Linked DNA regions of Daphnia pulex. The protein of the gene in region 2 interacts with the protein of the main gene of each other region in a biochemical or structural test. Links are inferred from orthologs where the notes say so. Each region holds a gene or a part of one and is shown on either strand. Other genes may lie near its edges.

What was found.
Region 1: the proteins of bromodomain adjacent to zinc finger domain protein 1A-like (region 2) and chromatin-remodeling complex ATPase chain Iswi-like form a complex in vitro, tested with the Drosophila melanogaster proteins (3 studies listed by BioGRID). The link is inferred for Daphnia pulex from reciprocal best matches to the Drosophila melanogaster genes Acf and Iswi.

Annotation. Positions count from the first base shown.
Region 1 is NC_060024.1:13,563,788-13,566,156, forward strand, and holds the end of chromatin-remodeling complex ATPase chain Iswi-like, read left to right. Parts: intron 1-62; coding exon 63-186; intron 187-245; coding exon 246-585; intron 586-650; coding exon 651-802; intron 803-862; coding exon 863-1,023; intron 1,024-1,093; coding exon 1,094-1,400; 3' UTR 1,401-1,574; downstream 1,575-2,369.
Region 2 is NC_060028.1:6,186,006-6,190,634, forward strand, and holds the end of bromodomain adjacent to zinc finger domain protein 1A-like, read right to left. Parts: coding exon 4,192-4,629; intron 4,124-4,191; coding exon 3,914-4,123; intron 3,858-3,913; coding exon 3,419-3,857; intron 3,327-3,418; coding exon 3,050-3,326; intron 2,966-3,049; coding exon 2,867-2,965; intron 2,807-2,866; coding exon 2,708-2,806; intron 2,639-2,707; coding exon 2,479-2,638; intron 2,415-2,478; coding exon 2,062-2,414; intron 1,998-2,061; coding exon 1,764-1,997; intron 1,152-1,763; coding exon 958-1,151; intron 746-957; coding exon 582-745; intron 511-581; coding exon 435-510; 3' UTR 182-434; downstream 1-181.

The DNA.
Region 1 (2,369 bases), on a different chromosome or scaffold from region 2:
AATACCACATCTAGCTTTGTAATCATGGAACATGCTTACATTGAAACTTTTTTGTTACATAGAGAGAAACAAAAGTCGATTGTTGGTGCCTGGATTGAACCGCCTAAACGTGAGCGCAAGGCCAACTATGCCGTAGATGCATATTTTAGGGAAGCTCTTCGAGTTACAGAACCCAAAGCTCCCAAGGTAAGGCCCTAATATTTGTTGCATCCGTTCCATCTGAATCACTTCTTTGATTTACTTAGGCACCTCGACCACCTAAACAACCCATCGTGCAAGACTTCCAGTTTTTCCCGCCACGGCTATTTGAGTTGCTTGATCAAGAGATTTATCATTACCGTAAAACGGTCGGCTACAAGGTTCCGCGTAACCCTGAGCTGGGAGCTGAAGCTGCCAAAGTCCAACGAGAGGAACAAAGGAAAATTGATGAAGCCGAGCAACTAACGGACGAGGAGCAGGCGGAGAAGGAAAGTCTTTTAACTCAGGGTTTTATATCGTGGACGAAGCGGGACTTCAACCAGTTTATTAAAGCAAATGAGAAATATGGCCGAGATGATGTTGAATATATGACAAAAGAAGTTGAAGGTGTGTATTTAAGAAAGCTTAAGAGTTAAAACACTTACTTAACACTTTTCAATTTGGATTATCAGGTAAAACCCCAGAAGAAGTGATGGAATACAGTGCAATTTTCTGGGAGCGATGCCATGAGCTGCAGGACATTGATCGAATCATGGCTCAAATTGAGCGAGGCGAAGCCAAAATCCAACGCCGGACGTCGATCAAGAAAGCTCTCGATACTAAGGTAAACTAATCTGTGAGAAGTATAAAAATGTTGCGAATACTGATTTTTAATTTCTTCCAGATGTCAAAGTATCGAGCACCCTTCCATCAGTTGCGCATTGCTTACGGAACCAATAAAGGCAAAAATTACACTGAAGAAGAAGATCGCTTTTTGGTTTGTATGCTGCACCGTCTAGGGTTTGACAAAGAGAACGTGTACGAAGAGCTGCGAGCCGCTGTTAGGTATGATTAGACGTTTTGCTATAAATTAAATAAATTAGTCACCTTCAACTTTCTTTCTCTTTGCCCACAGATCTGCTCCACAGTTCCGCTTCGATTGGTTCCTTAAATCGCGCACAGCTATGGAGTTGCAGAGGCGATGCAATACTCTAATTACCTTAATAGAAAGAGAAGTTCAAGAGTGGGAGGAAAAGGAGAAGGTAGACAAGAAGAAGCGTGGTCCGAAGACCAGCATTGGATCTAAAGTTGAAGCAACTCCGAAATTAGAGGACGATGGAGCCAAAAGTGAAGCAACGCCTACGAAGGGCTCCAAACGCAAGAGCGAATCAGCGGTTGGTACACCGGAAACAAAAGGACGAGGAAAGAAAAAGAGAACTTGAAGTGTCAATCTCGCTAATAAAATCGTAAAACAAATTTCTGACCGACGGAACGAACATTATTAAAATGATTCTTAAAATGAGCCATTCCTGCTCCCTTTCTTTTAAAATTTCTCATGGTATTTACCAATTCGATTAATGTACGATTTCGTGACCCAATACACCTTAAATCTGAAATTCGTTTGTGATGTAAATCAATCAGTGAAGGATTCCAATTCCGTGGGAAGATTTGTTCATATTAAGAGACAAATAAATATTGATGAATAACTGTATATTTCAAACGTTAAAATTGACTAAAGCGTGGGAAATGCGTATGGTCTCAACGAACATAAAATAAGTGGCTCTGTCGGACAGCGCCATATCCGCCGGTGCGGGGATTCTGGGAGGCTTCAGAAAACGAAGTTAAAAATCTAAGAATGTGTAATAAGAACAACGAAAGGAGGATAGAAATTACAGTTTTTGAGAATTATCTAGTTGCAACTGGTTATAACCAGGTAATAACAAATAAAATGGTAATAATAAAAAAAAAATGAACGCGCGCTCAAGCGATATTTTCGAATTCGTTTGGCAACGTGCTCCGCAATCCGCTTTCCATGAATTAGGGTTTGACCGACGGCGTGGTTTCGGCCTTTGGGGGGGACCGAGTGTATAAATAGTCTTGCATCCTCTCTTCACAGCCCTGATAAAGTATCTGTTGGAGCAGAGAATGACGTCGCAAAATGAGGTGAGCTTTCTTTTGTCTACTAACTGTTAATTTTAATATTCCGTGTGTAACTCAAGTATTTAAAGATTATATTGATAGCATTCAATTCTGTAGAATATGTTGGTATACTTATAGTCTCTAAAAAGCTTTTATGTATCAGTAGTTTTGTCATGAATAACTTCATATTCCTTTTCGCGTGGGCTGTCCCACGTGGCACTTAAGATGCTTGAGCGAATTTTAAGACTAAGGAAGTTGTTAAAGAAATCTTC
Region 2 (4,629 bases):
GTAGGACTCGCGCAGTTGTTCATTTTCAAGGAAGGAATGAAAAATGTCTAGAGGCTAAAATGTTTAAACTTTCACGGCCTTGACAAGGCTTATATGAAATTTCCAAACAATTCTTTTATTTAAAAAAAATAAAAATATTTTCTTTTTTAAATGTCAGTAAATGGAACCATTGGGCTGTTGATTAAACTTAAATGAATCTCATTTAGCATTGTTACATATAGCTAATCGATTTCAAGTGTATTTCACTGTTATTCAAATTTCCGAACTTCTTACTGTTTTAATTGGAAACGCAATCGACAACCCATTGACGGTCGCCAGAATTTTAACATAAAAGAGACACGGTTTTATCCAATATTTCCATCGGGGTTGTCGAATGAATGACTTTTTAGGGGGTGGTAGGGAGAGTTGGATTTGTAGGAAAATTGGTTCAAATGTTAATCCGTTGGCATCATCTTGATACCTAGTTTTTCTAACTGCTTCTCAGCGTATCGACTCAGGTTGCGACCACATCTGGTACAGACAAACACATTTGTAAAAGCCAACAATTTAAAAACTGCTGATCAAAAGAAATATTAACTTACTTGTATTCATCGGCAGCGTCGTTATTGTAAGTATAGCAGTTCGTGAATATCAACTGCAAATCCTTGACGAAATCTTCCGCCGTCTTGTACTTTATACTGTTGAGTTTGTACTTCATTGTACCAAGATCCATAGCTTGTTTAATAACATGATGATAGTCCGGAGCCTGAGAAAAATTACACACAAATCAAATTACTGGAATATTTTCAAATTAACGAATAGGGAAAATGATACGTAATTATGAATTCTTTGAAACGGTTTCATTTGTTTCAAGTTACAGTCACAATGATCTCAGAAAAAGTCACGTTACGAGAAATACGATAGGGCAAACTCTTGGCGTGAACTATAAAACGGCTATAAATCTTATCAATATTTTACCTCTGCTCTGGTGACGGGTTTGAGGAAAGGCCAACTATCGACATGACTGCTCAAATCGGCCAATAGCTGTAGTAAATCAGCCAAGTCAACAAACCCGGAAGGAGAAGTTGCGGAAGGCAATGGCAATGGACGACTCCTTTTCCGATGTGCTGCTGCATTCCACTTGCTGTTGTTGTCACTATTACCGCTTTCGTCTAAATAGAAATGAACAATTTAAGATTTGTAACCAGGCGTCAAAACATTCAGTCGTAACAATATTTGTAGGATGGGATTTGGTAATAAGCTATGAATAAGGAAATTTGTGCGGCAAATCTAGTGTCTTGATTAGATTGAATCTACTTGAAATTAAAGCTGGGTTCCGAACTAAATTTCATTTCGAGCAGTTTTTAACTAGACGTGAACAGACACCTAAGTTTACTTTGTCGTCAAGGGAAACCTATAATGACATCGCAAGTCCATTGTTTTTGTACGAAGGAAAAAATAAATCAGTCAGGTAAAAGTGGTTGATCCTTTTATTACGAAAAATAGCAGGAAGCGGCGAGGCTTCACAACTGACATCTTCCAAAAAATGAAACAAAAAAGTACGTCACAAGGCAGTGTCAAAGTCAAGGCCGAGAGGTTAAGATGATGAGCGGAACAACCTGGGGTAGTGGGGGGGAACTGATATAAAGAAAAAGTAGTCGTTGTGCAAGGTAAGATGAAGTAAAAGTAGTCGTTGTGCACGGTAGGAGGAAGCGTGAAACGCGGTAGTAGTGTTCGTTATTTGATTTAAATAGGCGTTTACTTGCGGTAAAGAAATCTCTTACCATCGTTGCTGTCCCCTCTGAGTCGCTTGGAGGATTGAGCAATTTTGTCAACAGCTTCTGCTGCCGAACGGCGTTTGCCTAGGGCCAAGTCAGCGGGTGACTTGGATCGTACAGGCTCGGTTTGCGTACGCTTACGCGCACCAGCATGCCTCCCCATATCCTTCACTTCTTCATCAAAATCGATCGCATGACGGGTTCGTGAGATTCGGGCAGAACCGGTCCGACCGTCAGAATCTGATCAACAGAGAAAAATTATAGTAACAGCTTAACATTGAAGAGCACATGAAATAGTTTCTACTTTTTTCTCGTAGTTTGCCTCTTTCTCTATCCTGGGGAGGTGTCTTGCACTGCGGACAAGACCATTTGCCTCTTGGGACCTTTCTCAGAGGCGGGTTGATGCATTCTAAGTGATAGACGGCTGGGCATGTGTCACAGCAAATAACCTCTCCACCTTCTTGGCAAACTGGGCAGATTTCATTATCTACTGATTCTACATCACTTTCACCCTCCTCCGCTTCAACTTCGGCTTCCTCTTCGCCAGCATCCGCTTCTTCTTCTTCAACAGCCTCGTCCTCGGATTCTTCAGAAAAGACGCGACGTGCTTTACGAGGCGTTCGAGGCTTTTCACGGGGTTTGCACTCGGCACAGAACCTTGAATAATAATAAGGTTATTTGAAATGAGTTCAACGAACATGTTAACGCTTATTAAATTTACCAATCTCCTTCTGGTACAACGGTGAGCAAAGGTTTCAAGCAATACATGTGGTGTCCTTTATCACATCCATCGCAGAGCAACATCTTTTCCGGATCTCCTTTACGACGACAAATACGGCATCGAGCATTCAACGCTGAGCGATTCCATGTAATACTGTTATCTTTAAATATTCAAAGCATTTAGTAGAATATATATTGCACATAAATACGTAAATATATATCTAACTCACCTAATAGCGCTAAGTGAACGTACAACTGTGACAAACTCGTGCATGCATGTAGAGACAACTCCCATTTTTCTAACGGCGTTCGTACTGTTTTCGGTTCCGCTAGAAATAGTATTAAAATCAGCTATTTTTGTTATGACATGTCATAAGACGTTATCTTACTTTTGGCATCCGTCTTGTGATCCGGCTCCTTGTGGTCTTCCCATTTTTTCATCGCTTCTTCGGCTTTTAGTCGTTTTTTTCTTTCTTTCTCATCTTCTCCTGAAAATAATTTTTAAATTAATCACTTCGACTACTAAGTAAATCTCAATCAAACCAAATCCAGCTAATAAAATACTGACTTACCTAGAGGTTTCTTCAGATACTTGGTTTCGACACTTTGAGCTAACTGAAGTAAGGAACATGCTAGATCCACAACGCACTTTCTGGCAACGGCATTAGCAGTGGTTTCTGCTTCCACCGAAGAGCTTGTTTCGGAGCGGTTATCTTCATCCTCGGCATCATTGTGTTCAAGCTTTGGGTGTGTCTTCGTTTCCAGTTTTCCACCCCAAGTTAGAGTTTCAACCTGCGAAACAAACTTCCTTTCTTCTAAAGACGTTCTCCATGCGTTTCGGTCTTTGACCTAGTAAAATATTTATATGTAGATGAAATTGGATTTGTTTTTAAACACACAAAGATGTTATTGATGTAAATTAATCATTTAATCTACTGTACCTTCAAGGATCCCAAGCCGCCAACAAAAATTTTCTCTTCAGTCTCAAGAACCATATCAACTAGTGTTCGCTCCATGATCTCCTCGACGGGAGTACCGGCAGGAAAGTAAAGGTTGATATCGTATTCTTTCTCCTTTCGTATTTGTCTGGTGGATTTGCGAGTTTCACCTTCGAGTTTAACTTCAGGCCTTGAATTATCCAAACGGTGGACAAAGCACTTTGTGATTCCTTCTACGATTCTTTCCTTTTCTCGAACCATTGCATTCTTCAATACACTTTCACGTTGCCCTCGTTCATTAAGGCTCAGTAGGATTTGATCAACGAAATCGACATTTTCATAGAATGACCATTTTGTTCGTGAAAGGTAGGTGGCGTGGACAGGGCAGTTCGTCGGATTAGAAGTGCAAACACCAAAAATTTTGGGCCTAATTTTCAAAGAACTGTTAAAATGATTATACGTAATAATATAAAATGTAAAATGAAATGCAATACTCACTTTTCGCAGACAGGTTCGGTTGAGATATCATTTTCTTTATTCGCTGCTTTAAAAAATTTCCTAATGTCTTCTTTGCATTTGCTGGGATCAATCGGCAATCCGTTTGGTTTTGGCATGGAATAGGGCGTGGGTTCGGGTAAACAAGTCCCAACGTAGTCATCATCATGTTCCACAAACAACCCGGGAAGTGATTCAAAAACCCAAAACCTCCTAAAAAAGAAATGAATATTTAGTTTTTTGATTTGATTAGTCTCATTCCACACCAATGCACTAAATACCTGAAAGCACGATCTTGTCCAAGAGGTGCCAAATGAGTCATGGCTGTCATCCTGAGAATTTGTTGGCGAAGTTGCTGCTCCTTCTTGAGAACCTCCCCTTTTCTTTTGGCAGTTTCTTGTAGCAACCTTTCTAACTCTGTTCCATCTTCGGTGTTACCGTTCTCTTCAGAGCGTAATTTGGCTCGATTAATGATATCTTCTTTTCTCATACGTCTCTCATTGGCATGCAGAGCTTTCAGTTCTTGACGTAAATGGATTAATTTAGTACTCTTTTCTTCGAGTATGTCTCTTATTGATGCATATGTGAGTATTTGATGACAAAGGCATTTGATAACTTTCATTTTATCACCGACGGGCAATTCGTATACCGTGCTGTGAGACAAGGCATGTAGAATATGAGGATCTTCCTGACGCAACTGAACACCAGGATCATCAGCA